Linked DNA regions of Stegostoma tigrinum. The main gene of each other region encodes a partner of the protein of the gene in region 3 in a complex. Links are inferred from orthologs where the notes say so. Each region holds a gene or a part of one and is shown on either strand. Other genes may lie near its edges. The genes, in order: drc3, ccdc135 and fbxl13.

What was found.
Region 1: fbxl13 (region 3) and drc3 share a complex: the UniProt entries of both Homo sapiens proteins name them as parts of the nexin-dynein regulatory complex. The link is inferred for Stegostoma tigrinum from reciprocal best matches to the Homo sapiens genes FBXL13 and DRC3.
Region 2: fbxl13 (region 3) and ccdc135 share a complex: the UniProt entries of both Homo sapiens proteins name them as parts of the nexin-dynein regulatory complex. The link is inferred for Stegostoma tigrinum from reciprocal best matches to the Homo sapiens genes FBXL13 and DRC7.

Annotation. Positions count from the first base shown.
Region 1 is NC_081376.1:20,124,477-20,135,649, forward strand, and holds the start of drc3 (dynein regulatory complex subunit 3), read left to right. Parts: upstream 1-6,308; 5' UTR 6,309-6,438; exon of another isoform or gene 6,439-6,578; intron 6,579-7,389; exon of another isoform or gene 7,390-7,638; intron 7,639-10,589; exon of another isoform or gene 10,590-10,592; 5' UTR 10,593-10,606; coding exon 10,607-10,766; intron 10,767-11,173. Other genes in the region: tom1l2 (TOM1-like protein 2), read right to left, coding at 6,071-6,122. UniProt on the Homo sapiens protein: Component of the nexin-dynein regulatory complex (N-DRC) a key regulator of ciliary/flagellar motility which maintains the alignment and integrity of the distal axoneme and regulates microtubule sliding in motile axonemes.
Region 2 is NC_081363.1:81,621,460-81,631,925, reverse strand, and holds the start of ccdc135 (dynein regulatory complex subunit 7), read right to left. Parts: upstream 4,787-10,466; 5' UTR 4,701-4,786; intron 1-4,700. UniProt on the Homo sapiens protein: Component of the nexin-dynein regulatory complex (N-DRC) a key regulator of ciliary/flagellar motility which maintains the alignment and integrity of the distal axoneme and regulates microtubule sliding in motile axonemes.
Region 3 is NC_081378.1:23,971,565-23,982,628, reverse strand, and holds the start of fbxl13 (F-box and leucine-rich repeat protein 13), read right to left. Parts: upstream 4,512-11,064; 5' UTR 4,491-4,511; coding exon 4,416-4,490; intron 1-4,415. UniProt on the Homo sapiens protein: Substrate-recognition component of the SCF (SKP1-CUL1-F-box protein)-type E3 ubiquitin ligase complex.

The DNA.
Region 1 (11,173 bases), on a different chromosome or scaffold from region 3:
CAAGCCAACATTCTGGCAATATGTAACAAAGATATCAAACCAAACCATGTTATTTAGAAATAAGTGGCATTTTTAAACAAAAATCATAAATACTTCTGAAAAGAATGAAAGTGTCCAAAGCTTTATTGATTTTAGCTACACTAAAATGGCGAAGAGTAAATAAATTTCAAGAGAATGAAGCCAACATCTGCTGTGTGTCAGGAACAACCACGTAAACTGATAGTTTAGCCCATGTGCAGCTCAATTAATTAACTGCTGTTTTTTCCAAGTTAAAAAGTGGGTAGATTTACTGGACTGAATAATTAGTACTGACGCAAAGAATTTCTGTCGTAGGAGTTACTGTTTGCAACAAATTTCTATACCTAACTATGTGGCCAGGATGATTGTGTGCAACATCAAAAACAGAAAATTCTATACCACTGTGACAGCTTTCATATCTTCCCAGACACCATCTTGGTCACAGACAGTCTAGATTAGCAAGTAATTCAGGAAGGATTAGAAGATAGATTGTTCCAAGTGTATCAGTGGTATACTACGTTGGAAACACAGGGCAGAATACAAATTCACAAGTCCTGCAGTAGTGAATGATGGATTTTTTTTCAAATATCTAAACCACAGTCACCTCTGGCAGCAGCCAACAGTTCTCATGTCCACAAAATAAATGTCAAATTTGCAGTCTAACAGCCATGATACTGTGACAAGTTAAAAAAAACCTGTAAAATTTACAGATAGATGACTACAATGAAAAATCATCTAACTGAAAAAAAAACTAGATTTCAGCTGTCACTTCACTAAGTAGAACGAGTTTCTTAGTACAAATTCGTGAGATGAACTGCACTGCATAATACTAAGGCGCCAGTGATAACCTGACTTTTTAAATACACAGTCATCTGTGGAAATTCTAAGCATTCAGAGTTATTCTGCCAAAGGAGGAAAAGAAAGATTTAACTGCAGCAAATGGGAAATTCCTCGGCTCTCCACATCCAATTAAAGTAAAGTAGTTTCCATCCTCACTGACAATGTGTTTTTGGAAATAGGATAGTGTTACCACAAGAAGCCAGAAAACCCGACCGCTTTATATCACAGATAATAAAATGTGAGGCTGGATGAACACAGCAGGCCAAGCAGCATCTCAGGAGCACAAAAGCTGATGTTTCGGGCCTAGACCCTTCATCAGAGAGGGGGATGGGGTGAGGGTTCTGGAATAAATAGGGAGAGAGGGGGAGGTGGACCGAAGATGGAGAGAAAAGAAGATAGGTGGAGAGGAGAGTATAGGTGGGGAGGTAGGGAGGGGATAGGTCAGTCCAGGGAAGACGGACAGGTCAAGGAGGTGGGATGAGGTTAGTAGGTACGAGATGGAGGTGTGGCTTGGGGTGGGAGGAAGGGATGGGTGAGAGGAAGAACAGGTTAGGGAGGCAGAGACAGGTTGGACTGGTTTTGGGATGCAGTGGGTGGAGGGGAAGAGCTGGGCTGGTTGTGTGGTGCAGTGGGGGGAGGGGACGAACTGGGTTGGTTTTGGGATGCGGTGGGGGAAGGGGAGATTTTGAAGCTGGTGAAGTCCACATTGATACCATTGGGCTGCAGGGTTCCCAGGCGGAATATGAGTTGCTGTTCCTGCAACCTTCGGGTGGCATCATTGTGGCACTGCAGGAGGCCCATGATGGACGTGTGATTTAAAGAATGGGAGGGGGAGTGGAAATGGTTTGCGACTGGGAGGTGCAGTTGTTTATTGCGAACCAAGCAGAGGTGTTCTGCGAAGCGGTCCCCAAGCCGCCGCTTGGTTTCCCCAATGTAGAGGAAACCATTTCCACTCCCCCTCCCATTCTTTAGATGACATGTCCATCATGGGCTTCCTGCAGTGCCACAATGATGCCACCCGAAGGTTGCAGGAACAGCAACTCATATTCCGCCTGGGAACCCTGCAGCCCAATGGTATCAATGTGGACTTCACCAGCTTCAAAATCTCCCCTTCCCCCACCGCATCCCAAAACCAGCCCAGTTCGTCCCCTCCCCCCACTGCATCCCAAAACCAGTCCAACCTGTCTCTGCCTCCCTAACCTGTTCTTCCTCTCACCCATCCCTTCCTCCCACCCAAAGCCGCACCTCCATCTCCTACCTACTAACCTCATCCCACCTCCTTGACCTGTCCGTCTTCCCTGGACTGACCTATCCCCTCCCTACCTATACTCTCCTCTCCACCTATCTTCTTTTCTCTCCATCTTCGGTCCGCCTCCCCCTCTCTCCCTATTTATTCCAGAACCCTTACCCCATCCCCCTCTCTGATGAAGGGTCTAGGCCTGAAACGTCAGCTTTTGTGCTCCTGAGATGCTGCTGGGCCTGCTGTGTTCATCCAGCCTCACATTTTATTATCCTGGATTCTCCAGCATCTGCAGTTCCCATTATCACTTTTTATATCACAGCAGTTTCACACCATTTAGTTAAAAGTACTAACGAACTTAATAAGACCATAAGACATAGCAGTAGAAATTAGGCCACTCGGCCCATCGAGTCTGCTCTGCCATTCAAATCATGGCAGTTAAGTTCCTCAACCCCATTCTCCTGCTTTGTCCCCATAAGCCTTGAGAATTAAGAATCTCAGACTTAAAGGTACTCAATGACCTGGCCTCCACAGCCTCCTGTGCAGTGAATTCCATAGATTCACAACTCCCTGGCTGAAGAAGTTTCTCTTGATCTTCATTCTAAAAGGACTTCCCTTTATTCTAAGGCTGTACCCTCGGGTCCTAGTTTCTCCTACCAATGGAAGCATCTTCCCAACATCCACTCTGTCCAGGCCATTCAGTGTTGTCTAAGTTTCAATTAGATTCCCCCCCCCCCCCCGCCCCACACGATCTTTCTAAGTTCCAATGAGCATAGTCCCAGAGTCCTCCAACATTGCTCATTTGTTAAGCTTTCCATTCCTGGGACCATTCTTGTGAAACTCCTCTGAACCTGCTCCAGGACTAGTACATCCTTTGAGATACGGGGCCCAAAACTGCACACAATACACCAAACGTGGCCTGACCAGAGCCTTATAAAGCCTCAGGAGTACATCTCTGCTTTTATATTCAAGTCCTCAAAATAAATGCCAACATTGCATTTGCCTTCTTCACTCCTGTCTCAACCTACAAGTTTAGCTGGACTAGAACTCTCAAGTCTCTTTGCACTTCAGACTTCTGAATTTTCACCCCATTTAGAAAAGAGTCTATGCTTTTATTCTTCTTACCAAAGTGCACAACCTCACACTTTCCCATGTTGTATTCCATCTGCCACTTCTTTGCTCACTTTCCCAACTTGTCCAAATCCCTCTGCAGCCTCCCCACCTCCTCAATATGACCTGTCCCTTCACCTATCTTTGTATCATCTGTAAACTTAGCCAGAGTGCTGACAGTTCCTTTATATAGATCATTAATGTATAAAGTAAAAAGTTGTGGTCCCAACCCTAACCCTTGTGGAACACTGCTTGTCACCAGCTGCCATCTTGACAAAGACCCCTTTATTCCCACTCTCTGCTTTCTGCCAGACAGCCAATTTTCTATCCATGCTAACACCTTGCCTCTAACACCATGGGCACTTATCTTACTCAGCAGCCTCCTATGTAGTACCTTATCAAAAGCCTTCTTGAAGTTCAGCTAGATACCATCCATTGGCTCTCCTTGGTCTACCCTACTCATTACTTTTTCAAAAATGGTTAAAGGATGGTTATTTGCAGGTAACGACATTCAAATTTAGGAACAGACTGAAAACTTGGACATCAGTTGCAGTTTGGTGTTCGCATTTTCACTTCTGGAATCAGAAGGTCATGGATTCAAGTCCCAATGGACAATACAAAACCTACAGTGTACCTCATTGCAGTTGAGGAAAGTGCCATTTTTGATTTACACAGTAATTTGACATGTCCTCTCAAGTGTACTTCAAATTATTCAATGACATTATTTTTAATACCAAGAGTAGAACCCTGGTGTCCAAGTCAACTTTACACTTCAACCAATTCCACCAAACCATTATCTGGTAATCACCACACTGTTGCTTCGGATGACCTTGCTATGCACAGAATGTATTCTGTATTTCCTATGTATTAGCAGCTAATATCTTCAGCAATAACTCATTTCCTGGAAATTATTAAAGGTCACAAAATTGACTATATATTAAATTTATTTGTTGCCAACACAAAATTATCAAACACTTGGTGCAACATGGATCATTGAGAAGTCAAGTAAAACAATGCACAAGTGCATATTGGATACAAAATCAAATTTTGCTTAATCACTTTCATTAGTTTCAGAATGTTCTTGGGGTTCTTCCAATGAGCTTTTGTACTCAGGTATGTATTAGCCTCAAATATCACTAACAAATAGAGCTCTTTCTGGTATCCAGTTGTTATATCAAGCTTAAATGGGTCTGCAAGACAAAACAAATATCCTTCTTCCCTTGCCACAAGGGATCAATGATCAAGCACTGTATAGCAAGTATATGCACTGCTGCAAAAAATCAAGTTCAATCTTCAATGGCCAATTCTTCTGCAACCTCCAGTGGGATTTTCCATTTCTCACAGCAACAATTTTGTTGTCTGTGAAGAGGATGCCAGTTTAACAGTAAAAATTAAACCCACTTAAAACAGGGAAAAAATGCTTTTTCATTTCAAGCAAAATATATAAAGCTTGGAAATTAATTCAAAGAATTAGAATTTCCTTGCATTATAATGATTATATACATAACTATATACTTAACCAGAACAAAAGTAAAAATGGCTGCCACAACCTAAAAACAATTGGTTAAAATTGCATCCTTTTTGTTTAAGATAGATTTGGATATCTACTGAACTGAGCTATCTTTCAGCAAACTAGGCAGCTTAAAATTTCATTTAGGTACAAAACACGGCACAGATGTACCAACAAGAAAAAAAGACAAGCTGAAAGAAAAAAACATTATTTTAGTTTTAGGAATCTTAACAAGCCCAAACACTACTGGTGCCAACAAGGTCTACGAATCTTTAATAAAAACTGAAAGAACTGCGAAATCAGAAACAATCACAGAAGTTGCTGGAAAAGCTCAGCAGGTCTGACAGCATATGTGAAGAGAAATCAGAGCTAACGTTTCATGTCTGGTGATCTTCCACAGATATCAAATCATTAATTTAGTAAATTTTGTATTAAAAATCCATCAAGATCAAATAGATCATGTATTTCCATTAAATAACACACCTAAGCCTTCATTTACATCAGTTATCTTCAAACAAAAAATTATTTATTTTTGATCTATTTAACAGATGATTCAACTTTGACGAAGAAAAACTTACAAATGAATCTGCATTTTGTGTTACATTTTCGGTGTTGACTAGAGCTCACTTAGCAAGTTAGTAGTACTTTGGAGCAATCAGCCAGAACAGACCAGCGTGATGAGTACTGTGTTATACGCATGTGTCATTCGACATTTTGCAACAAAATTAGTAGAAACCAAATTGCAATTCTAGATCTTAGGTAAGTGCTTGCATTCAACTGTCAAAACTGCATTTTATTTCGTTTGCCGGAAAGCGGATACCACTAGAAAAATAAAATCAAAACAACGAAAGGAATACATTATCACAAACCGTACTCGCTGATGTCAGGCGCAAGTTGTATGAGGCAGGACTCAAAGTAGACAGGGCAATTTGACAGCTAAATTCCAATGTGTAAGCAGTTGAAGAACTTTACAACACCCATATGTAAAATAATGATACATAAGCCACCTTGAACCGTGTCGCTTTTAAATGACATTGCAAATGTGTAAACAAACACTTATTTTTTTGGGGGGGGCGCGGAAACCTCTTCTTTTAGGCTGTGCGAATCCTTGAAAAACATTCACGTATCAGTTTTATAATAACTTAAAATAATTACTTTCCCGGCGGCATTTTTTAAAGAAAAAAAATCAAGCAGACTGTGAAGCAAATTAAATGCCAGAAAAATGACACGGCATTCCGAAGAGATTAATTTCAAAACGAGACAAATATTTATAATACTTAAGAAATGAAGTGAACGTTTACAAAACAACTAGATTATGTTTTAAGATTGACTGTAAACTACAAGGCTCGCACCTATACATTGTCCAACGGGAGTACTATACGGGTTCCCAATGAAGAACTCCATCTTGACGCTTCCTCCACAAACATCCAATGGATGTGGGTGACGTCAACTTCGCCTCAACCGAGCTTGATGGTGCGAGCTGAAGCCCGTTCCTTTCTCTCACTGATTGGCCAACAGCGCGCATGTCCCCGCCTTCTCCAACATATCCCATACGGTTATTGGTCAATCGCCAAGTCTGTCAGGCGTCCCGTCAAGTCAAGTTCGCTCTCGTCTTTGGATGATTATTTTGCCTCTCCATCGTTAAAATTATATTTTAAAACGAGTGATTTTGTTTTACATGTTCTTTTATTGTACAACGCTACAGTTAGTAGTTGAACCGGTACGAATCCTATCTCACGATGTTGCTACTGAAGAGGGTGGGGGCCTAGGTCATGTGATGTTTATCCTAGCAACCGAGTGAAGCTCTGCCCAGCCAGGCTACAGTCAAGGAATATAGTAGAAGTAGCTGAATATATACAGGTAAAAGTTCAAATTGTTGATAGGGTAGGTCGTGTTTCTGTCCGCAACAGATTAAACTGCTAATGTCTTCTTTGAGTAGCTCTTCCATTTGTACGTCCAGTGGTGAATGTTGATCACTCAAAACCAACTCGACTGGCTGCGACATAGTCATACAGCATGGTAACAGACACTTCGGTCCAACTCGTCCGTGCTGACCAAATATCCCAATTTGATCTACTGCCATTCGTTGGCATTTGTCTCTTATCCCTCTACACCTTTCCTATTAACATACCTATTAAAATGACTTTTTAATGTTGTAACTGTACCCGCCTCCACCGCGTCCTCTGATGAAATTGTACATTTCCAAACCAAGAGCACTTAATACAAACCTAAAATACTTAAATCGAAAGTGGACAATTCGAATTGCTAACACCTTTGATTATATTGCATCTAAAATTCAAAAAGGCTAATCGATCTATATTCACTCAAATTTTCATCTGAAGATGTGCAAAAGAAGTGCTACTTAAGACAAAGATGAGATGGAATTTGCTCTCTGAGGGTAGTTTCTATAACAAACACAAACGAAAATAGCTGAAGAAACCCAGCAGGTCTGGCAACATTTGTAGAGAGAAAACAGAGTTAAAATTTCAAGTCCTGTGACCCTTCTTTATAACTAGAAACAACTAACTGCTTAAAATTTTGAAGGGTCACAGAACACGAAACATTAACTCTGATTTCTGTCCAGAAATCGTGCCAGATCAGCTGAGTTTCTCCAACTATTTCTGTTTTTGTTTGTTTCAAATCTCAGTATGCATACTTGGTTTTGTTTTAGGCAGTTCCTACAGCCAACGCCAGATCCCCAAGACAACTAGTCCACTGAGAATTTGATTAACACGGAAGACTTCCAGCACCACAGCAGAATTTTGTGAGCCCTCAGCTGTGAGTGACCAAAATACCCAGAAAAGCGTCGAGAAAAGCAAAAAGTGCTGGAGAAACTCAGCAGTTCTGGCAACATCTGTGGAGAGATAATAGTATCAACATTTTTTTGAGTTCAGAAACCTTTTGCCTGTTCTTACAAATGGTGAGTAGCCTGGAAACATGAACTCTTATTTTTCTCTGTAGTGATGTGGCAAGTTCTGCTGAGTTTCTCCAGTACTTTCTGTTTTTATTTGTTCCAGCTCTCTAGTTTCCACAAGTCTTTGTTTTATTTAAAGATATTGAGAGAACTTATCAGGAATGCACAACAATGGAGATGAGGTATCAAAGGTAGTGTACAAAGCTCCAAACATCCCATCCATCTGCTCCTTCAAATATCACAGTTGCAACTGTGGCAGAATCTAGGAGATCACATGTTCGATGAAGCCTAATGCAAGCTGGTGGAATAGCACCACATTTTCTGTTGAGGGACTTTAGAGCTTGTAGTAATCAAAATTGACTTAACAACTTTAAACCATGAACTTTGTCCTCTATTATTTATCCTGACCAGCATCTCTCCAATGTCTTATTTGCATAAGTTAGCTCTCCATAGAGCTGACCTCTTTTCTGCCAGTATGCCTACACTTCATCCATAACTCAACTATCTTGAGCTCTCAGTGACATCAGTTTTATTTGTAGATCTGAATTGTGTGTATTAAGAAGTGAAAGACATAGCTTCAGTTTCATTTTTGAATTCTGTGGATGGTACATGGTTGTCTGAAGATTTATTTACATTCATTAAAAATAGATTGATTTTTAGCTTCAGAATTGAGTATACCTTCAGCCAAATAGTTCAGTGCATGCAAAACAAGAAGACAGAAAAATGTGGCGCTATTTCCATGGAACAAAGTACCCATAACACAAGAGACAGAATAAGTTTATTTAGAAAGTCAATGAAACAAGCTGGCCATTTGGAGAGAAAAGGCCTATAGCATCAGCAATGTTGTTTAGGATTCTCCAAAACAGATGAGGGCAGAAGAACAGAAATCTGGAGTGATTTAGAAGTTAGTAAAAAGAAAACTCCAGAAATGAATTATAGCCATGCCAACTGAAAAATGAATGTTAAATGTTAATGTGGAGATCATGTGATCTTCAATAAACTTTATATATCTGTAAGGTTGCCATTGAGAATGTTTTTAAAATTTGTAATAAGACCATTTAAATAATTATTGTGTAATGTTAGTAGTGTAGTAGTTAGTGCTTTGTTCCTTTTTTTCTAATAACCCTGAATGTTCTTTTGTTAAAAGTACTTTGGTAACCTTGCGAACATGATCAATGATCACAATGATGAACGAATAGCAAGAATGAAACTTCTGATCTATCAAGCCAGATTTCACCCTGGAATCCAACTTATCCAGTATTGCCACAAATCATAAAGTTTCATCATGGTTTTAACTTTTCAACCTTACCTGGCCTGTAGAACTTGCTATCATGTTCATTGGACATTAGAAAATAGAGTCATACAGCCAGAAACAGACCCTCTGGTCCAAATCATCCATGCTGACTAGGTTTCCCAAACTGAACTAGTCCCATTTGCCTGTGTGTACCTCGTATCTCTCTAAACCTTTCCTATTCATCTACCTGTCAAAATGTCTTGTAAATGTTGTCACTGTACCTGCATCTGCCACTGGCAGTTCATTCCATATATGCACCACCCAGTGCGTGAAAAGTTGCCCGTCAGGTCCCTTTTAAATCTTTTCCAGCTCACCTTAACACTGTGTCCTCTAATTTTGAATTTCCCTGCCCAAGGGAAAATGTCTTTGCTATTCATCTTATCCATGCCTCTCATGATTTTATTAACCTCTATAAGATCATCCCTCGATCTTTTATGTGCCAAGGGAAATAGCCTCAGCCTCTCCTTGATAACTGAAACCGTCTAGCCCCACCAACATCTTTGTGATTCTATTCTGCACACTTTCCAGTTTAATCACAAATTTCCTATACCAGGGCCTCACCAACATCTTGTACAGCTGGAACACAGTGTTCCCACTCGAGTACTCAGGAGTCTGATCAATAAAGTTAAGTGTGCCAAACATCATCCTAACTACCCTATCTACCTGCAATTCCACTTTCAAGGAACAATGTTCCTGAACCCCTTGGTTTCTGTGTTTGACGATACTTCCCAGGCCCTATCATTTACAATGTAAGTCCTGCCCTTGCTTGGCTCACCAAAATACAACACCTTGCATTTATCTAAACTCCATCCATCCATTGACCCAGCTGATCAAGATCCTGTTGTACTCTTAGATAACCTTCTTCACTTTCAATTATACCCCCAATTTTAGTTTCATCCACATATTTACTAATCATGCTTCCCATATTCTCATCCAAATCATATCCTTAAATGATGAAGAACAGTGGACCCAGCATTGATCACTGCACTTACGTCCTCATAAAAACTCAGTCAAATTTGTGACACACAACTTCCCATGCACAAAATTTCAGATCAGACAACATCTGTGAAGTCGGGAACCTCACATTAGATAGTGCCTCACTTGCTGAGCATTTCCAGCACTTTCTGTTTTTATTTAAGATTGCTAGCATCTGTAGAATTTTGAGTTGTTTCAGTATTGGATTAAGTAGCACAGTTATTAATCAAACCAATAAATGTTTCTCAGAGTTCAACAGCAAGACTGCCATAATAGATACATTTTTCTACTCCCTGACTAGGAAATACTGAGGAAATTGAAGGCAGACAAATCCTACTGCGTATTTTTAGTAATGCATAAAACTTAAAGTAGCTTTTGAATTTCTTGCAATTTGCTACTGTTTGTTGTTGCCTCATTTAAAAAAAAACTGGAAATACCAATTATTTCACTTGCCTCCATTTTCAAGTAAGCGGAGAGTGAATCTTTCACAAGTAGAGTTGTTTACTCATCCGTTAAAAGATGTATGAAAATATCTGAGGGAGACAAGCTTTTGCTTTGCCTCTTTACAATGTTCTACATGACAACTATTGATAGTTGCAGCAACACCAGATATTCGTTGTCAGTTCATAATAATGTAATGCAAGAAATGATTATTTATTTTAACCAATATACCTTTCTCTCTTTTAAGTAGATACACCATTCAAGATGAGTCAACTTTATAAAACAATTGAGCCCAGTGTAATTGATGATGAAATGCTTGAAGAGGCAGTGAAGAAACAAGGGCCACCAGGAAAAGCTGGGCAAATAGCCCAGTTAGAAGGAATTGAATTCAAAGATGTAAAAAATCTTCAACTGGATTACCGAAGTATGCTTTAGATCATCATCTTTTATGACCTAGATAAACAGGATGTTCATAGATTGTGTTATTGATAAAACAATTTGCAGATAATACACAATTGCATCTTACATACATATTTGAAAAATAATGTATTCTTTTGATCTGAATGCTTGTGATTATCATGGTGATTGTTAATTTAACTCAAATTTATGGAATAAGCTTAATGTAAAAAATATATCTCCGTGTTATTCTGAGATGGGAGACCCGAGGAAACCGAAGCAGAATTTGACTTGTAGTCAGAGTTAAAGATGGCAACCAAAAGCTTGATATAAGAAGTGGGTTTATAAAAAAAGGTTTTGAAAGACAGAGAGGTGGAAAGAGAGGTTAGAGATAGTTTCAGATAGTCAGGCTAACATAGCCGAAGGTAGTTAGAT
Region 2 (10,466 bases), on a different chromosome or scaffold from region 3:
GGTAGCGGTAGATACACTCTATTTTGTTCAAACAGCGCTTAATTTGTAGACTGTCAGACTCCAAGTTGATATACCGCCAGATTCTAAACAAGGCCTGACGCCGAAAGTGCCTTGTCAGGCCTGGATTGTCACTTCTGGTACACTGAGGGAACTCATAAAACCTTTAGTTATCGCGGAGCAGTGACTTGAAAGAAATTCAGGAATTTGCGTATTAATCCTTTGTAACCGATTAAAGATTAAACAACCATCTTCAGTTTGTTTAACACCACATCAGTTATATAACCGTTTGATCTTTTGCTTATAAATTCTGTGTCTGATGTTACCTCTCTCACTGACACCTGAATAAGGAGTAAGACTCCAAAAGCTCGTGTTTTCAAATAAACCTGTTGGTCTATAACCTGATGATCCTGTGTGATTCATATATAGGGCCATACAGATCCCCCTGCACTACAGCATACTGCAATTCTGTCACTGCTTAAATAATACTCCACTTTCCAAATCTTCCTACCAAAATGTAAAACCTCACATTTTCCTGCATAATGCTCCATCTGCCATTCTTTTGCCCAAAATCCTTTTATAAACTACATGGTCTGCTTTTGTCCTCAGAGACAAGAGGCATGAGGCAAGTTCAGTTTCGAGAAGGAAACCCAGTCTTTGCCAACATGTTGGAAAACATGGGTCTATGGCCTATTAAGATGTATCTGAGTAGGGAATGAAGGTGGGTGGTTTCCCGAGGTATGACCCTTACCAAACGTATCACACTGGGCTTTCCGATAAAATTATTGATGAATCGTGAGCCTCAATAAGGCTCAAAATGTATTTTGAAATGCAAATGTATTTTGCCTACACTCTCAATGATAGAAAACTTTACCCCACCCACCCTCCAACTTACCCTAGCCTTCACCTAAACTCAACTCCCCTACCCCATCTCTCTCCACCACCCCTCTGCAGGAAGTCAGTATTACTTACAACTCAGCTTCTATTCTCTTAACTTCCAACAGCTGATAATGGGAGGGTTATGTAGAGAGCTTTTGAATGTTCACACTGTGGCATCAACTGCCAAACTCCTTCTCACAGAAAACACAATCCAAAACTATGGCTTCTCCCTGTCAGAAATCCTGTCTCCCCATAGTTACCATTCAATATCTGACTTCTGCAGGAATGTAAGACTTCTCCTGGATGTGCTGGAATCAATTCCCAGGTACTGACCTCATTAATGGCCAACATCTGCCTTTTTAAAATACTACTTTGCCCTGGTATGAAGCATCAGTAGAACCTGTTGATCAATTCACATTCAGGTCTGGCCTCACAAAGAAACCATTGTTTGTTTCTTCATTTTTTTTTTAAAACACTTGCAGTTGCCCAGCCCGCAGATCATTTTCAGCTCATAGTTCTCAGTTCATAGCTCCAAACCAAAATTGATAAAAGAATAAAGTAAAAATGATGAAAAATAAGCAAGTATTCTAACACGGCCATTACATTCTTAATAGTGGATTCCAGAATTTTCCCAGTGAGGGATACTTAGTCTGACTAATTGAGACATAAAAAACAAGAGCCATTCGGCCCTTTGAGCCTGCTCCACCATTCAATATGTTCATGTTGTTTATCCAACTCTGTACTCAGGCCCCGCTTTGTCCCCATAACATTTGAACCCCTCAGCTTGAAAAATTGTCGAACTCCTATTTGAAATCATTCAGCATGTTGGCTTCAATGTCTTTATGTTGTAAAGATTTCCACAGGCTCACTAGTGAAGGAATTTCTCCTAATCTCATTCCTAAATGGCCAATCCCATATCCTTAGACTGTGTCCCTGGTTTTGGACGACCTGATAATCAGGAACATCCCTCCTGCACTTATCCTGCCCAGTCCTGTTAGTATTTTATAGGTTTTTATGAGATTCTATGTGATCTTTAATTTTCTACTTTCTACCTCACTGGTCTCTTGACTGGAGATTTTACATTCGGGTTTTACAATCAGCTAGGACCGCTTCAAGAATCCAGGAATTTTTAGGAAACTTTCAACAAATGCATCCATTATCTCTGAAGCTGCTTCGTTTTAGACCCTCTGACACAGGCGATCAAATCCAGTGAACCTATAAGACTTCAGTCCCATTTGATTTCGTCATAATTTTTCTCTGTTGATTATGATTTTTAAAAGTTTCTCCCCCCATGGGTCTCCTGCCTGTCTGTTTGTCTCAGGATGTGATTTATGACTTCAAGGCCATTATGCACATGGTCGGTCTGGAGCTGTCCTGCACGATTATTTGCTCCAGACACGGCGGGTAAGGGAAAAATGATGGCCCAAGGGAAAAATGAGACCACTCTTTGCAGACAGGGACCTGAAGGGCCTGGTTGACTGGGTTAACAGAAGAAGACTGTCCTCTTCCCCCAAGGACCAGAGGAGGCCATGACACCAGCTTGGTAGATGTTGGCCATTAATGAGGTCAGTACCTGGGAATTGATTCCAGCAAGTCTGGGAGAATCCTTACACTCCAGCAGATGGTAAATATTGAATGGTTAAAGGGTGCCACCTGGGTCAGTGTGGCCTCCCAGGTCAGGAGAAACACCCAGCATAAGTTACCTCAAAGAGTGGTTCTGATTCAAGTCAGCCAGCGGGTCCCAGTACAGTAAGACAAGGGCATCACCTAATCTGAGTCCAGGGGCTTGATCACAGTCAGCTGCCTGCTTGGGGCAGACATAGTCAAGGGTCCATTTCACTGAAGTCTGGGGAGAAAGCCACATTCAGTCCTGCAGATCCCATAGAAATAGTAAGGAGTTTCACAATTGGTTAATGGGGGGGGGGGGGGGGGTAGGGGGGTGGTGGGCTGCACACAGATCATTAAAGGGTCCGGTCAGTCATCAGTTGGGCTGCCCTTTAAAGTCAATCAGCTGGTAGACCATGATCAGTACTGAGGATTAACAGAATGAAAGTCAACAGAGCACGGTGGTTTTATCAGGGAAGACTGTGCTAGGGAAGTTGAGGAACTCAATGCTGGGGATCATAGGAGGAAAGTGACATGGAGGTTCGGCTGCACCCTTTGATTACCAGGCTGAGCCTAAGACTCACTGTGCCAAGTATGACCTGTATTGAGTCCAATATTCAACTGACCCCTCGATGCGAAGTGCAAACAGAATATTGGTGCAACCACATCCAGAGTAGAGTCAGAGGTTTTACTCTGTCTCCACACATGGGTTCCATTTGTGAATAACCTGAGGCCTTTCAAGGTATAACTGCACTGATGGGGCAATTAGTGCAGGTTGATGTTATCTATGATCATAATGTCATGCACGTGAAATGCATCCTGTGCAACAGTATGGGGTACAAGTGCTGGTCACAAGCAATCTTGACCATGTCATTTGTTGTTGTAGATTGAAGATAGTCATCTTTGTGAAGCAGAAGTAATCACAGGTGACCTTCAGCACAGAATACTGCTAAATGGCAAAGGCTGCACAAGGGCATGAAACTGATTCTCTATCACCTTGACCCGCAGGTATTCGTTGATGTGATCTTATATGCAATGGCGCCTTTCTTAGGAGAAGTGGGGTTGGGAGGACAACTTCTCAATAGTCATGCAGCACGTACAATCTCCTGTATTCTGTTTATGTCATTACTGGAGGTGCATTACTGAAATAAGCCAAAGGGTCATGGAGAGGCATTCCTTGGCCTTCTTTGTTGGAGTGCTCCATGACTCACTGTATGGAGGACTGTGCCAAATGGTCATTTGTGACGGATATGAAGGCTGATTGCTCTTATCATGAAAAGCCTATTCTGTTTCTTATGTTCCTGGCATAGATGCTTTGAAATGTGATTGATGAATCCAGTCACACCAGGATTATTGCCACTACTGTTGCACTATAACAAAGGTGAGGAGTAAGGTTGAGAAGGTGGGATTTTCATGTTAATTTCATCCGGTGTGAGACCTGAAGGAGTGCATGGTATCCTGTCCTGATGGTTTTCAAGGTGATAGTTGCATTGAACTTTTATGCGAATGACTCCTTTCAAGGAACCACTGAGGACCTGCCAGAAATCTCTCAATCCTTGACTCACAAATGCAATTTGTCACCTATGCAACTTCTGTCAGATCACACCACTTCCTCTCGTTTCCCTGTGATGAGGTCAGTGGCCCAGGCACTAAGCTGTGGCAATATCAGCGGCTTCCTCTTGGTGCAGGGCATTTCAGAGATTTGAGCAGATAAGCTAATTTGACACTCCAGGCTCAGTCAAGAGCAAGAGGTGCTGTTCTCGGGATGAGATGCTAAACCGAAGCCTTCTCCAGAGGGTGCAAAAGACCGCCTGGTATCATTCTCCCCCTGGAAGAAGAGCCAGATTGTTTTCTAGGGGTCCCGCTGGGAGCTGGTGCCACCCTCAAACCCCATAAATTAAGGTGAGTAATTATCAATTCAAAAATAATCCTTTTCAAAAATGCAGGTGCACATAGCTTCTCTTATCTCTCTCATTTATTCCTGAAACAGCGGCAAAAATGAACCACTTCCTCCCTATTTGTAGAAACTTGTTCTTTATATTGTCAAGATCAAACTCTGTGCAACTACACACTCTCAGCACTTTTAGACTGAGCTACCTTCCTAGGTTACAAGTAAAAAGAACAACTAGTTTGTTCATGCACCAAATTAAAAATTGTGTGAAGAAGTACACAGAATAAATACATAATAAATTGAAATAATGTTAATGATGATCCTTTACCTTTGTGCTTCTCAAACAGTCTAAACTGTCGCTTTTTCTGAGGCTTTTCCTTGAAGGTGCAAGTGCCTCAGGCCTGTGATGTTGATTGGAAACCAGTTTAATTAGCAACCAGTGCTTAGCAACCAGTCCCTAGCAACAACCATGGCAACAGGCAGGACACTCTGGGCATTGTAGTCTTTTCCGGTCAAAACTGAGACCACTATCAAGACAGCAGGCCAGAGATTACAACAATAGCAACCACATAGATTCATATAACACCTTTAATATGAAACATCACAAAACACATCAGGGTAGGGGGGACTGTGAGATAAATCATGACAACGAGAACCACATAATATATCAAGTTAGGAGACCAAAGGCTTTGTCAACAAGGTAGGTTTTAATGAATGAGTGGATGGATTTAGGATGGATATTCCAGAGCTCGGGGCCAAGTTAACTGCAGGAATAATTGATTAAAATTATGGCTTCGCAAGAGGTCTGAAATAAAGAGGTGCGGATATCTTGCTGTGGGTTGTGTGGACAGAGCAGATTATGGAGACAAGGAACAGCAAGGGTATGATAAATTTGAAAACATGGAAGTGAAATTTAAAGTCAAGATGTGACTTGAGCGGGTGCTACTGTAGGTCACTAAATGCAAGGGATGAGGGGGAAGGGGTTTTGATATGGGAATAGGGGAAATAGAATTTGGATGAGCTCAAGTTTACAAATGGTCGAGACTAGCCAGGAAAAAGGACACGTGGTAACAGATTTTAAAATTGTTTTCATAAATTGCTGGTGGTAGCTTTTGGGTGACAGACAGTGCATGTTTGGTGGCTTCCTGCTCAGGCCAATTAGGCCTCACAGATTGTTCACTTTAAGAGATGATCTTGACCACAACTTGATTTTTCCTACGGTGAGATGACAGAGGTGGGGTGTTGATGCCGCCCTCAAAACCCTACCAATGCAAAAATAATTATTTTCAACAACATATGTGCACGTAGCTTCCCTTATCTTTATCATTTTATCTCCCAAGACACATTGGGGCACAAACTTCCCTAGCGCTGAACAACAGGGGTGTTCCTCAAACTCGGAAAAATCATGAAAAATTGATAGGGAGGAGCTTCTGGATATCAAAAGCAAAGAAAGTCCCAATTTCCAAAGAAGTGTTGGCTAGCAGGATAAGATTACTGAGACCAACAAGATGAGAGGTTAGATTAATAAATCTAAGGAGCAACTCGTCAGATTTTTAATTAGTACTTGATTGAAGGATTATGGAAAGTGAACAGGAAAGTGGAGTTGAGGGATAGTTGAGATCAGGCATGATTGTACTGAATGGCAATGCAAGTCTGAGGAGCTGAGTTTACTACTTCTGCTCCTGGAAACTCCTGCTCCTAGATTTTTTTCACACCAGTATGCAGAGAGGTCTTTCATTGTTATTTCATTTTGCTTAATGTATATGACAATTTTCACTCTCCCATCTGCCAGACAGACAAAGTCAATTCACATAGCAGTTAACTGTGAAAGGCTTAGAGGGGATAGAATTCTTAAAATGTGTCTGGCAGATTACTTAAGCTAGCATTTTGCAAGTCTGATTCAGAAGGATGGCGATGGATTTACTTTGAAGGAACGAAGCTGAGCAAGTGGAAGGTATGTCAATGATGAAGCATTTTGGTGATAGTAACCATAATTCCAGGTAATTACAAATAAAGACAAAGATGAACTGGAACTAAAGGTTCTGAAATGGGGAAGGCTGATTTTAATAAGACAGGATCTGGCCAAAGTGAACTGAGAGCAGCTACTTGCAAGAAAATAGCGGGAGACATTTAAAATGGTAAACATGAAAGCACAAGGCTAACATATTCCCATGAGGTGAAGGGTGGAAACTACAAGCCCAGAGTAACCTGATGTGTAGAGTTGGATGAGGGGAGACAAACAAGAAGGTTATGGCAGATACCAAAGGCTGAAAACAATGTGTGACCTGGAAGAGTATTGAGAGGGAGTTACTGAAAGAATAATAGAACGAGGAAGGAGTATGAGAAGGCACTGGCGGGTAGCATTAAGGAAATCCAAAGGTGTTTTTTTGAGTATTTTAGGGGGAAGAAACTAACAAGAGAAAGAGTAGGGCCAATTAGGCACCAAAGTGGCAATCTACATGTGGAGCCGGAAGACATAACTGAGGATTTAGAAGATTACTTTGAATCTCGATTCACTATAGAGAATGACGAGGTAAGCATAGAAATCAGGGAGGGCGACAGTGATATGTGAACAAATTGACACTGAGAAAGAGGTATTAGCAGTTTTTGTGGTCTTGAAAGTAGATAAATCCCCAAGCACAGATGAAATGAATATCAGGTTGCCATGGGACACAAAGGAGGACATTACAATGTGCCCTGACATTAATTTTCGAATCTTCTCTGGCCACAGCAGAGATTCCAGAGTACTGGAGGACTGTTAATGTAATACCATTATTCAAGAAGGGTAGTAGGGATAAACAAGCTACAGGCCAGAGTCTAAGATCAGTGGTGGGAAACTATTGGAAAAGTTTCTGAGGAACAGAAATAATCTCTACTTGGGGAGATAAGGATTAATCAAGGCTCATGAGCATGGCTTTGTCAGGGGAGATCATATTTGACTGCATTTTTTTGAGGAGGTTACTAAGTGTTGGATGAAGGTACAGCTGTTGATGTTGTCTACATGGACTGCAGGTGGGCCCTTGATAAGTTCTTGCATGGCAGACTGGTAAAGAAATTTAAAAGCAAACATCCTACAAGGCAATTTCACAAATTGGATCCAAAATTTGCTACATGGCAGGAAGTAGAAAATGATGTTGAAGAGTGTTTTTGTAACTGGTAGCCTGTGTCCAATGACATACCACCGGGTTTGGTGCTGGATCCCTCGCTGTTTGTAGTGTACGTTAATGATCTAGACATGAATGCAGGTGGTTAATCAGTAAGTTTGCAGATAACACAAAAACTAGTGGTAGGATAAATAGCAAGGAGGAAAGCATTTAACAGGACAGATGGGGAGATCAGTGGCAAATCAAATTTAATCCTCCAAAGTGAAAAATGATGCATTTTGGGAGGACTACCTGGTAAGGAAGTACACAAAGAATAGTAGTATCCTAGGAAGTACAAAGTATCAGAGCATCCTTTGTGTGCATAAAAATAGATCCTTAAAGGAAGTAGGAAAAAAAATAAGATGGTTAAGAAGACATAAGAGATAATTACCTTTATTTGCAAAAGCATTGAATACAAGGGCAAGGAGTTTATTACGGAGATATATAAAACATTAGTTAGGCCACAGCTGGTGTACTATGTGCAGTTCTGGTTGCCATACTATAGGATGAATGTGGCTACACTTGAGAGGGTGCAGAGGAGATTCACCAGGATGTCACCTGGGCTGGACTAAATCAGCTAAGAAGAGAGATTAGATAGTCTGAGGTTGTTTTCCTTGAAGCAGAAAAAGCTGAGTGGGGACTTGACTGAAGTATACAAAGTTCTAGGGTACATAGATAAGGTGGACAGGAAGAAATCTTTCTCCTCAGTACAGGTATCAATAACCAAAGGGCACAATTTTGAGGTCAGGGCAGGAGGTTCAGATGGGACTTGAAGAAGGTTTCATTGTACATTGAGTAACTGACTGGCTGAACAAACTATTGTCTTGAGTGAGTGACTGAAAGCAAGGCTGATGCCTTTGTGCTGGAATGTTACATGTCATAACATCATGTAACTGTTTTGAAGATACATGCCTGTCTGATTTTCAATCTATTCCCAGAGACTTCTGCTTTCTCCCATTTCTGGTCTCTTGGGGATCCTTGTTTATAATAACTCATGTTTGCCAGCTGTGCCTTCAACTATCAGTAGTGGGTTCTATTTCTTCCCTGCAGTGCTCCATTTTTCCCATTGTCTTTAAAACACTTATTAAAATCTATCTCATTGAGCAAGATTTTGGTAATTTTTCCTACTATCTCCTTAGTGGCTCATTGTCGAATTTTGTTTGATTACATTTGTGTGAAGTGCTTTGGGATTGTTTAATGATAGTTGTGGTGCTAATGTAAATGTAAGCTGTTGTTTCAGCATCTCCCCAAATTCGACAGGTCGAAGGAGAATTGGTCAAGGTCCTCAGACTTCAGTCATGGACCTCCCCAATAGTCACAGTTTCCTTTTGAAGTCACTTTGCATCACTGTTTTTGTTTAGTTTGGCAGGCTTTAGTTCTGAAAACTGACTGTGACATTTAAGAGAAAAGGCACAAAGTATTATGTGATGCTATTGACTTCTTGAAAGGTTGACTGTAATTCCTAAACATAAATCCCAAGAAAGGGCATGTGATTCTAGTCTGGACTGAATGCAACGGTCTGCTGGTTAAAATGCCAATGCTTTGGGGGATTTCATTGTGAGTGAACTGGATTAGCATCAGTCAACTTAACATGTTTAGATCTTCCAAACTATGTTGGAATTCCTGTATTCAACTCAGTTCAGGAAAATAATGAACTACTTGCCTTCCTATGATATTCAAGCTCTTTGTTGAGAGTGTCTACATCAGAGTCAGATAATCGAGGCTTTCCCACAGGTTAATCAACCTGTTCCGAATTCTATTGTATATCTCTAGACCAAGCAAAACGTGAATCCAGGTCCTTCTGGTTCAGAGGCAGAGACACTACACTGCATCACAAGAGACCCTAAGTTCCACTGTCCATCACACAAACATTGATGATAAACTGTATGTTAATTAAAGACAGAATACCTCCATGCACTGTGAAACTTGGCCTAGATATACACCATGTCTAAATAGTGTATTGTGTAACTTTTCCATACTGCAGAAGCCTCACCATTTTAAGGACCTTGGGATTTGCAGCCTAAGAATTTAAGGAATCCAGAAGACAAATTCTAAATTAAAATTGACGGAATCAAATTTAGATTCCTCAACATTCATTCATTGGCTTTCTTTTACTGGCCTATTTATGCTTTAACCAGGATCAGATGAGGATGAGAAACATCAAGAACCTGGTGTTATGAAGTCTAGATATCTTTTCAAGACAATTATGTTTTAAAATGCCCCTTTAAATTTAAGGTGGCACAGAACATTTTGCAAATGGGGAGAAGAAAGGATTTGTGAGAAATGGCAAACACCTCCATGCAGAGACACACTAGTGTGAGTTGATCGCCAGAAGCTGAGAAACTCAGACAGAAGCCTACTGACAATTTCCACACCTTGACGAAGTATCACTCAGAAAAAGACAGCTGCTTTTTGAGAAGAAAAGACAAGGAAAATAATGCTGTAGTTGACATAAGAACTATTGTTGTCAAAAGTAGAGAAGCACTATTTGATGTTAACAACCACGTAGAATGCTTACAGATAACAAGGTGTAGAGCTGGATGTACACAGCAGGCCAGGTAGCATTAGAGGAGCAGGAAAGCTGACATTTCGGGTCTGGACCCTTTTTCAGAAGGAAGGCCTTCTGAACCTAGTTATCTCTACACATTGTTATCTTAGACTCTAGCATCGGCAGTTCCTACTATCTCAGAATGCTTACAGAATTTTGTTTTCTGTTTGAATGGAAAGGGACAGAACCAGTGGGACTTTTGAAAGTAGAACAGGGTGTTGCCAAGATGAGACTTGCTGGTGAAGATCTGATCTTGATATCTTAAGGTGAGCAGAACAATTCTCAAAGGACTGTTTTAATTTAAACGATCAAATTTCAAGACAGCAACTAAAACAACAGTATAAAGCAATAAGACAACACAGCTGCATCCCACGGAAACGCTGGTCTCTCAGTCATTCAAAGA
Region 3 (11,064 bases):
GTATGCTATTCCAATAAATACAATTCACACTTATATATCCCAAGTAGGAAGAAAAAAAACTTTATCTCTCAATAACCACACAGAATGTGTCTTCCAGAATACTCTGATTTCTCCACTGTCTCTCCAGTGATAAACGCTTTTCTTCTGCTGTTCTCAAGTTATTAACACATTACTTCCACAGATCCTGCTGTCAGGGATGCTTTCTCTGTGAAGACTCTTAGCTAAAAATGCCATAGTGCCTTTTATGGATAAGATAGTGCTTTCTTAGAGAGTTTAGCTATTTCTTGTGTGAGCTAGGCGTTTATTTCTCAGATGGCAGTTTTCAAAAGCCCTCTCCTTATTTACCTTGGATGACATAATTTTTTTTAATAATTGCATCGGTCCGAGTCTGTCAAAACTATCAGTTTTAAGTCAACTGGCTTTCAATCGCTAAATGCTCGGTAAAAATTAATTGGCTGATTCCAGCTCGTTGTCAAAACACCAAAACATGCCTAAGGCTTCTAATCACACAGCCAATTGATACATATTTCCATTTCAGAACTGGCTGTACAACTTCAGCTATAAACAGAGACTTTTTTTTCTGTATTAATCTCCAAGCTTAGAAAAGAAAGCATTTTGTCTCTTAAAGGAACCACACACTGTTCTCCCTTAACATTTTTTTCAAACAAATTCTAGATTCCTGCCTTCCAATTCATGATTACTCTACACAACTTTGCAACAATAGAAACATTCTGATTAAATAGATGAGGGAATGCTGAAAATACACAGCATCTGAAAGAAAGTGGGTAGAGCTCAGCTGCACCTTCAATAGTGAAGTGAACTTAAACTGAGATATCTTGATAACAAAAGTGTGGAGCTGGATGAACACAGCAGGCCAAGCAGCTTGGCCTGCTGTGTTCATCCAGCTCCACACTTTTGTTATCTTGGATTCTCCAGCATCTGCAGTTCCAATTATCACTGAGATATCTTGATGTCGGCCAGGGGCTGCAGAAAAAGACAGAGAGAGGGTTACAAACTGCCAACATGCTGCAGAGAAATACTGAATGCAAAATCGCTGACACATAGAAGAAGCAGTTTGTGAAATAAAACATAACCTGAGTCCAGGTACAGGTCTGAGCCAATTGAAACCGGTTTTTACGAACTATTTGGACAACGAATAATGAGGTGAGACTACAGGTAAAGGCATGCGACAAGTGAATGAGCCTGAGCCAACAGAGAAGAGGCAGCACAGCTTGAAAGAGATAAAGAAAGGTGCAAGAAGAAGACTCCTGGGCATGAAGCTAGCAAAATCTCTGGAGATTAACCTTTGCAGAAGTGAACACAACATTAAGAACATGGTGATGACATCTAGAGAAAGAACGAGAACAGAACGCCTGGCCAGTGTCAATCCTTGTCAGCATCATAGATCATAGAATCCCCACAGTGTGGAAATAGGGCCTTTGGCCCAGCAAGTCCACACTGACCCTCAAAGCATCCCTGCACACCCATCCCCCTGTAACTCACCTAATCTACACATCCCTGTATACCATAGGCAATTTAGCATGGCCAATCCACCTAACTTGCACATCTTTGGACTGCGGGAGAAAACTGGAGCACCAAGAGGAAACCCACACAGACATGGGGAGAATGTGCAAACTCCACAGTCACCAGAGGGTGGAATTGAACTCAGGTTCCTGGCACTGTGAGGCAGCAGTGCTAACTGCTGAGCCACCATGCCACAGCTATCCTGCCCAAGTATTAGCCTTTATGTTCTGTGATTTCTCAGGGAATGTCAAAGGAACCCAGTCGGCGTACAACTAGCTTCTAGCTTTTGGTTAGTGCCAACAAACATGCAACTACATGTGTATTGTCGAACAGCATTAATAAAATGATTTCTGAGTTATGTGAGAATTGACTCTTCTCCCCCTAGTCATGATCGCCAGGCTCCAACATTGTGCTGAAGTTTTTCAAACATTTTTGTCATACAGAAAAGCATTTTCATTACAATAAGACAATGTATGATGTTAGAATCTTTTCTTAAAAATTGCAAATCAAGTTTTATTACAAATCAAAGATAATGGGAACTGCAGATGCTGGAGAATTCCAAGGTAATAAAATGTGAGGCTGGATGAACACAGCAGGCCAAGCAGCATCTCAGGAGCACAAAAGCTGACGTTTCGGGCCTAGACCCTTCATCAGAGATGGTCTGATGAAGACCCTCTGATGAAGGGTCTAGGCTCAAAACGTCAGCTTTTGTGCTCCTGAGATGCTGCTTGGCCTGCTGTGTTCATCCAGCCTCACATTTTATTATCTTATTACATCTTATCAAGTTCCCTTGAAAAACTTGCCTGTAATTAAATTTCAGAAAATACAAACCCAATCCCAGAAGCAAATGAAATTCTGTCACAAAGTAATTCTAAACAGCTAGCAGTTACACAGATAATTGTGACTTCATAATTCTGAAAAGATATTCATTTGTGCTGGCTGTAGCTGCCTTATGGAAATATTCTGGCGACTATCGTGATAACATGCTCTTTCATCATTTACTTTAATTTTAACTGCTACTCACTACAAACTTAAACCAAAGAAATCAACTTAATTTAAAGAGCGAAGTTTCAAATTCCAACCCAAAGACACAAACACCAAATCTAGACAGTATTAATTCCAATGTATTACTAACAGCACTCTGAAGGTCTTGTCTTTTATGCAGCATGTAAAGTGGAGATCTTATCTGTCTTCTCTGGTGAATGTGAAAGATCCGATACTAAGTACAGGGAGGAGTGTGCAGCCGAGGTGTGACAGTACTGGATATGTGAGAGCAACATACCTGCTCCATTGCGAGCAAGGACTTGGACTACAGGTGTTGCTACATTTCATGTTCTCTGAATCTATGCTGCAGAAATCATCCGATCCAGCTTCTATCTTATGTGGATACCAATGGTGGATTGTTTCTGAAGGGATACCATATGCAAAATTCTGGATAGAAATGGGAAAAATGTACCCAAAATCACTCTACCTGTCTTGTGTGTGGCTACATGAAGCTGTGCGCACAAACAACAAGTGTCATTACATGCTAAGATTCTACCTGTCCCTGGCATTGCAAAACATGGGTTCTGGCTACGTTGTGACATAAAGCTCCAAATTGTCAAACCATAGAATATAACCTGTCCCTCATGGAAAAATTATACGGAAAAGCATGTTGACCATCAAGCAATGGTCAGCATGTAACATACTAATGACCATATGAGAAAAGGAGATAGTTGATCCTGTCAGATGGTTTCTGAGCAGAAATGTCAAAGTTATTTAGTAAGATGGGCACTGCCTATCAGATTGTTCATTCATGCATGATTGAAGTCTCTGCATTCCACGCAATCCTTCAAATGGTTGTGGTGACTAAGAGAGCATTGCAAATCTCCTTTTGGAATGTGCCCTTGCAAGGAAGATCTGGGGATAGATAGTGATTTTGTTAATGTAAATCCTGTGCAGATCTATAGTGCAGAATTTTATGTTCCACGGGTTGTTCTCAGGAGGCACATACTGAGGCAAAGATCATGATGAAAAGCACTTTCTCGTTCTGTCCAAATCCTGGTAGCATTCCAATGCAAAAAGTTATCCTCAACAGAATGTTCCATATGGACAAGTTCCAAGGTCCAGGGTTATACGTTAAAAATTGCATTAAGCTTGTAGTGCTTCAAAACCTTTCGCCTGCAGTGAAACAGGGAGCTGGTGACTTACAGGACTTCTTGGGCCGTATGCTTGCCACTGAATGCATAGAGCAAATGTCACGCGCATTGGGTTGAGACATCTAAGAATGAAACATGTTCAATGGGGGGAAAATTATAGTATACAGCATTTTCATCAGTATCCAATTCGAAATATTTTGGAATGAACCTTTGAATATTTTACGAAATTATTAGTGCAACATTAAATCTTTTTTTTCGTGATGAAGAGCTCCAAATTTTCTCCAGTGTTCTGGCGATTACTCAACCTTCAGCAATTAAATACTGAGAAAAAGAATTGGTTGTTCGGTTACACTGCGCTGTTTGTGGAATCTTACTGTGCGCCAATCGTCTGCCTTTTCCGGCCATTACAATAGTAACTATATTTCAAAAGCATTTCAACGAGTCGACCGAGAGTCGTTGGAGGCACAATACAAATGCGTGTCTTTTATTAATGTCTGAATATGTCGAATAACTATAATTAAACCTGCTAATGTGATATAAACGTGTAAGTGCTAATTAGTTGTCAGATGGCGGCAGTATAATTTAAACTTTTACGTAGGTGCTTACTTTACACTGGTTACAGTGATTTCGTTCAGTTTGCTGTGACTTTTTCCCGCATTATTTCTATCCGGCTGAACGCTGGACAAACAATATTTCCAACACACGTACCAAATGCAAAGCGGATTTTTTAAAAAAGAAAAGGCAATGAATTACCTCATAAATCTGGGGGAGTGAATGTGATTTGATGTAGTCTTTCAACACGGGATCTGCGAACTTTAAGAACACCATAGCAGCAGCTCGAGCGCAGCTTCACTGTCAGGCGAAAGCGCTCGTGAACACCGCCTGTTTACTGTCACCATAGTAACAAGCTTTGAAAAGGAAAGACCAACCGCCACCGCAACGGCTCCACAGCCAGAATTCCGTATTTAGAGATTTCCAATCTTGGTGACGGGCTCTTTTACCTTTTTAAAATTCACAATCCCTTTCAAACGCACCTACTCAACATGTATCACCCCCCCCCCCCAGGGAAAATCCACAGTTTATTCGAGATAATAAAGTGTGGAGCTGGATGAACACAGCAGGCCAAGCAGCATCTTACGAGCACAAAAGCTGACGTTTCAGGCCTAAACCCTTCATCAGAGATCAGTTTGAGAAGACTCCGACATAGTTCAAATGCACGACGTCTGTGCTATACTTCCTCGCTCAACGTTAGACGCTACGGAGGCAGATCTATAACTTGCAAATCAGTCGATTGGGATAAGTAAAATTTGAAACAAAATCCATTACTGTCCGAAATAAACTCTCATCGGCGTCTGGAGAAAATAAATTAGTCCACTTATCAGAGCCGATTTGATATATTGTAAATTCAACTTGGTTAGCACGTCTAACAATTGGCCTTAACCACAATGAAACATTTCTGACAAAAATCACGAATTAGGCAAGTGACTCCCTTTGCAGCTTACTTTACAATGCACTGTAGATGCGTAACATAGTAGCCCACCGCATGAAAAATGTCCAAATTTCCTTATTTATTAAAATTATAGTTCAACAATGACATTATATGGTAACTTTTACAACAATCCAAGTACTGGCTAACACTGCGGAAACTAACTTTATATTCCAGATTTTTTAAAAAACAGTCACAATGATGGTGATCATGAAATTATCATTGTTGTAAAAACCTATTTGATTCATTCATGTACTTTAGGGAAAGAAATCCACCATTCTTGGCTGATCAGGCCTGCATAGGACTTCAGACCCATAAAAATGGGTTATTCTCACTTGCCCACTGAAGTGACTTGCAAGCCACACAGTTTTTACTGTATTTACAGATGGGCAACAAACATCTATGAGAGAATAAGAAAAAAAGGCAATTAATGCTGTGCTTTCTATCTGTATTCATTTTTTGTACTAAATCAGCAATCTATGACTGGTAACATTTATAGAACAGACATTCCAAAAGTTGGCAAGAGGTGGCAAAATTCAATTCCACCAACACTTAGAGAAAGGTTTGTTGCAAGGTTTTCAATCAACATGTAGGAGCTCAAGGTTACAATTATTTTAAGAAGGAGACAGATAAGAAAAGAAGCATGCAATGTGTTAAGCAGTGCGGTAAAAGGCAGCTGAACTACCCAGGCTTTGTACAGTAAGGGCTCAGGGAATTCCCAGAGGAGTCGAATAGTTTTGTGTGGTGAAGGCTCCCAGACGTTTTGGGAGCAGAGCGGGCTCAGAAGAATCCACTTGCTATGAGACTGCTGAGCCAATAACTGTTGTCAAGGGAGGTAACTGGGCAACGCCCACCCGAGGGAAAAGACCTTTGTTATTCGCCTTATCTATGCCCATCATGATTTTATAAATCTCAATGATATCACACCACAACCTCCTACACTACAACAAAATCTTTATACTCTTCAAGAGATTCATTTGATCCCAGTTCTGTATATCTAATATATGATTTTTTAAAATTCTTGACCAGAAGCTCAATATCTTTATTCATCCATTGTTTCCTAATCTTACCAGTCTTGCCTTTCACTCTAACAGGTACATAATACCTCTGAACTCTTGTTATCACACTTTTGAATGCCTCCGGCTTGTCAGTCCTCCCTTTGCCTATCCCAATCAACTTTTGAAAGTTCTTGTTACATACCCTTACTCCAATTATTAACTTTAACTTCTATGGAAGACTTATCCTTAACTATTTTAAAACTAATAGTGTTATGATCATTGGTCCCAAAGTGTTCCCCTACTAACAATTCAGTCACTTAACCTGCCTTATTTCCCAAGAGAAGGTCAAGGCTTTTTTATTCATTCATGGGAAGGGTGTGTCGCTGGCCGGCCACCATTTATTGCCTGTTCCTAGTTGCCCTTGAGAAGCTATTGGTAAGCTGTCTTCTTGAACTGCCGCAGGCCTGCTGTTGTGGGTTGACACACAATGCCATTAGAGAGGGAATTTCAGGAATTTGACCCAGCAACAGTGAAGGAATGGCAATATATTTTCAAGTCAGGATGCTGAGTGGCTTGGAGGCGAACTTGAAGGTGGTGGTGTTCCCATGTATCGGCTTGACTTTTAGATGGAAGTGGACATAGGTTTAGAAGGTGCCATCTGAGGATCTTTGCTGGGTTTCTCCTTCTCTAGTAGGAATATTAAATATTGATAAAGAAAATTTTCTTGAACAAATTTAACAAATGCTTCACCATCCAAACCTTTAACATTATGGCATTCCATGTCAATGTTATGGAAAAATAAATCCCCTATGATTACAGCCTTATTATTCTTACATATATTTGAGATCTTGCTACATATTTGCTTCTCAATTTCTCTGTGACTGTTGAGGAGATTATGGTACAATCTCATCAAGGTGATCATCTCTTTCTTAATCCTAGTTCAACCCATATGTTTTCACTAAATGACCCCTCAAAAATATCTTCTCTAATTACAGTCGAAAGATTTCTCTCCACCAAAAATGTGATTTTCCCTCCTGTCTTGCCTCTCTTTCTATCCTTCCTATAATATCTAAAACGTGGAACATTGAGCTGCCAGTCCTGTCCTTCCCTCCGCTAAGTTTCTGTAATAGCTATGATGCCTTCATTAGCCTCACCTGTAAAACATGTTGCATCAAAATAAATGCAGGTTAATTCTTCAGAGTTACTTTGCTCTCTGACATGCTCTTGTCTAATTAGCTTAGAGCTTGGGGAGAAAATAAAAAAACCTTGGGCAGTTTGAGTTTGTTGAAGTTCCTTTGGTAAGGAGCTGGAATTATGCTTTTGAATGAGTAGTGGAAGGCAGTTTCATGGTTGGAAGGTGAGGAAAGTGGGATGCAAATGCAGGAAAGGATGATGATTGACCAGAACAGGAGCAATTGTTGAGGCAGTCTATGTCTGAATGATTCTTGAGAGGGAATTCCAGGGCCAGATCAGCAAGAATCCATAATTGTAACCCCTTATGACGTATAATGAGATTTGGAAACCCAGTGTGTAATTAACATCTGTAAGGAATTGTTGAGAAATCCATGGTATCTGTCTGGATTGCATTTGCTACTTGATGTTCGTTGAGGATATGCGATCAAAATAGCTTACCCCTATTTATCACATGTTAATTTTGGGTGTTAGAAATAAGCCGAACATATTGTAGATTGTATCACTATTCTAACATTGTATAGTAAAGTTTATGGTCGTTATTGTGGAGTCTTGTGGCCTTTTTCTCAGAATGAGTCCCCTGGATGTCACATATTGTCCATGTTGAAAATATAAGTTACAGGTCCTTAGCCAGATCATGACATAAACTTGACAGTCTGGAACTGGATCATAGCAGTATCATTAAGTAGCGTGCAGCATATTTCAAACTAAATGAGCAAATAAAATAATAACCACAAGTGGAATCATTGTCATACCAACATATAGAAGGTCCAACAATGGACGGTGCTGTGTTGGACATAGTTCTGGGAATCGCAGCCGGACAGGTGTTTGAGGTAGCAGTGTGGGGAGGGGAGGTATTCAAAAAGGATTTGGGGTGAGTATAGGCTCAATATGTTCCCTTTAGGGTGAAATGAAGGAGAAACAAATCCAGAGAACCCTGGACATCTAGAGATATCCAGAACTGTAGAAGAAGGAAAAGAGAGGCTTTTAGCAGGTGCATGGGAATAAATGAGCAGCAGCCATGGTGGAGTGTAGAAAGTGTGGGTGAAACTTAAAGTAATGAGGGGAACAAAAGGGGTCTTGAAAAAATATTGGCCAGTAAGGCTGGGGAGAATCCCAAGGTATTCATTAAGTATATTAAGGGGAAGAGGATAACCTGGGAAAGAGTAAGGCCTATTAGGAACCAAGAGGGCAATCTGTGCATGGAGCTGGAGGACATTAGTAGAGTATTAAATGTACTTCACATCTGTCTTCACTAGGGAAGAGGAAAATATAGGTACAGAATTCGGGAAGAGAGAATGTGTAGTTCTTGAGCATTTTGATATATGGAGTGAGGAGGCGTGATAGATTGGAAAAGGGGATAGTGTAATGACCTGAATAAAATTGTATACAGGTTGCTGAAAGTAAGCAGGCAGGTGCAGTAAGCAGTGAAGCAGCCAAATGATATGATGATCTTCATTGCAGGGAGGATTTGGTACTGGAGCAGGCATGTCTTGCTGCAATTACACAGGGTCTTAGTAAGACTACACCTGGAATTTTGTGTGCAGTTTTGGTCTCCTTATCTGAGGAATGATGTTCTGGCCATGGAGAGAATGCAACAAAGGTTAGACTGATGCCTGGGATGGTAGGATTGTTGTATGAAGATAGACTGAACTGGTTAACACTACGTTCACTTGGGTTTAGAAGTATGAGGGATGATACATACATACATACAACAAGACAGCACAGAACAGGCCCTTCGGCCCTCATTGTTGCGCCGACATCCTTCCTCTCGCAAGGAGACCAAAATCGATGGCAGTATTCCAAAAGCAGCTGAATCAATGTCCTATATGGCTGCTAAGTGATCTCCCAACTCCAATCCTCAATGCACTGACCGATAAAGGCGAGCACACCAAATGTCTCCTTCATATCCTTTCTACCGGTGGCTGTACTTTGATGGAACTACGAAACTGCACTCCAGCGTCTCTTTATTAAGCAACACTCCCCACAAACTTCAGTGTATACGTGCTGCCCTGATTTGCCTTTCCAAAATGTAGCACCTCACATTTATCTAACCTCAACTCCATCTGCCACTCCTCAGTTTATTGGCCCTTGTCAATGTCCCATTGTATTCTGAGGTGACCTTCTTGGCTGGCTACTACACCTTCACTCATTGGGAAACTTACTAACCACACCTTCTATTTTCATATCCAAATCATTGCATCACTTCAACTCCCCCTCCCACTCCCTGAACGACATGTCCATCCTGGGCCTCTTCCAGTGTCACAACCACACCACCCAGAAACTGGAGGAGCAGCACCTCATATTCCGCCTCGGGAGCTTCCAACTCAATGGCATCAATATGGACTTTGCCACCCTCAAAATCTCCCCACCCGTCCGCCTCATCCCAAGACTAGTTCCTTCACTCATCCCCGCCTCCATGATCTGTCCGCCTTCTCTCCCACCTATCCACTCCTCCCACCTCACTGACCAACTCTCACCACTGCTTGGAATTATTATTCTTTTCACACTTCATCAGCTCGACGTTATTTCTAAAATCTATTTTCCAATTTTGGAAAAAGTGAGATAAAGAGAAGTAAAAGAAGTTACATTCTTACCACTCTTGAAATCTCTGAATATTCTCTTGTAGAAACCTGTAAAATTCTAACAGGATTAGATACAGAAGAAAATAGGAAGGATGTTGCTGATCACCAAGGAGTCCAGAACCAGGGATCACATTCTAAGGATATGGGACCATTTAGGACTAAGATGAAAAGAAATTCTTCACTTAGAGAGTGGTGACCCACTGGAATTCCCTGCCAAATCATTTGGTATTTTCATGAAGCAGTTAGTTATAGTTCTTAAGGGATCAAAGGGTATGGGAGAAAGCAGAAGTAGGGTACTAAAGAGGATGATCAGTCATAATCATATTGAATAGTGGAACAGGCTCAAATGAATGAATGGCCTATTCCTGCTCCTATCTTCAATGCTTCACCCACAGGCTCTTTGATTTTAATTACCTTTCCTGTAGTCTACTTTGCACAGATCCAGCAGCTTTGACAATATTTAACTGCATTCATACCCATGCCGGGCTATCACAAATAGAACTCACTTGTTGCAGATTGGTAATTCTTCCTTGTTGTGCAGTCCCATGGCATATTTCAAGCAAATTTTGCTCATCCTGGAGTTGCTACTGTATGCTCCTTTTACCAAATACCATCCATTCCTTTACAGGTTTTCCAGTTTTGCCATTCCTCCAGGGGTGCACCTTCATGCAACTTCTTAATATTAACCTCCTCAGGACCAAAAGCACTAACAGCACCTTTTCTGCATTTTGATTCCCCTGTTGAATGGATCGTCTGGTCCTAAGTGGACTTCTGCTTCCACCTGTAATCAGATTATTATATTGTGCTTTATGTGTCCTCCACCTGATGCTATGGATTCCTTGTATCCAATACTGCCAATACAATTGTGCGCTATTCTGAAGGTGTATTGAATATCTACTAAAATATTAGTCTAACTGCAATCACACAACTTTAATGCTTTGGTGAATACCATTAGTTCAGATACCTGGGCAGACTGTCATCCCTCTAGGGCTCTTTGTTTTTCTATTTATCCATTATTTATTCTTCATCAGCCAAGAAGATCTTGGGCTTCCCAATATTGTGTCTTCTGAACCTATCTACAATGGTTCCTCCATTTATTCCTCCCATGGGATGTCCCTGATTGTACAACCTTCCTCATCCTC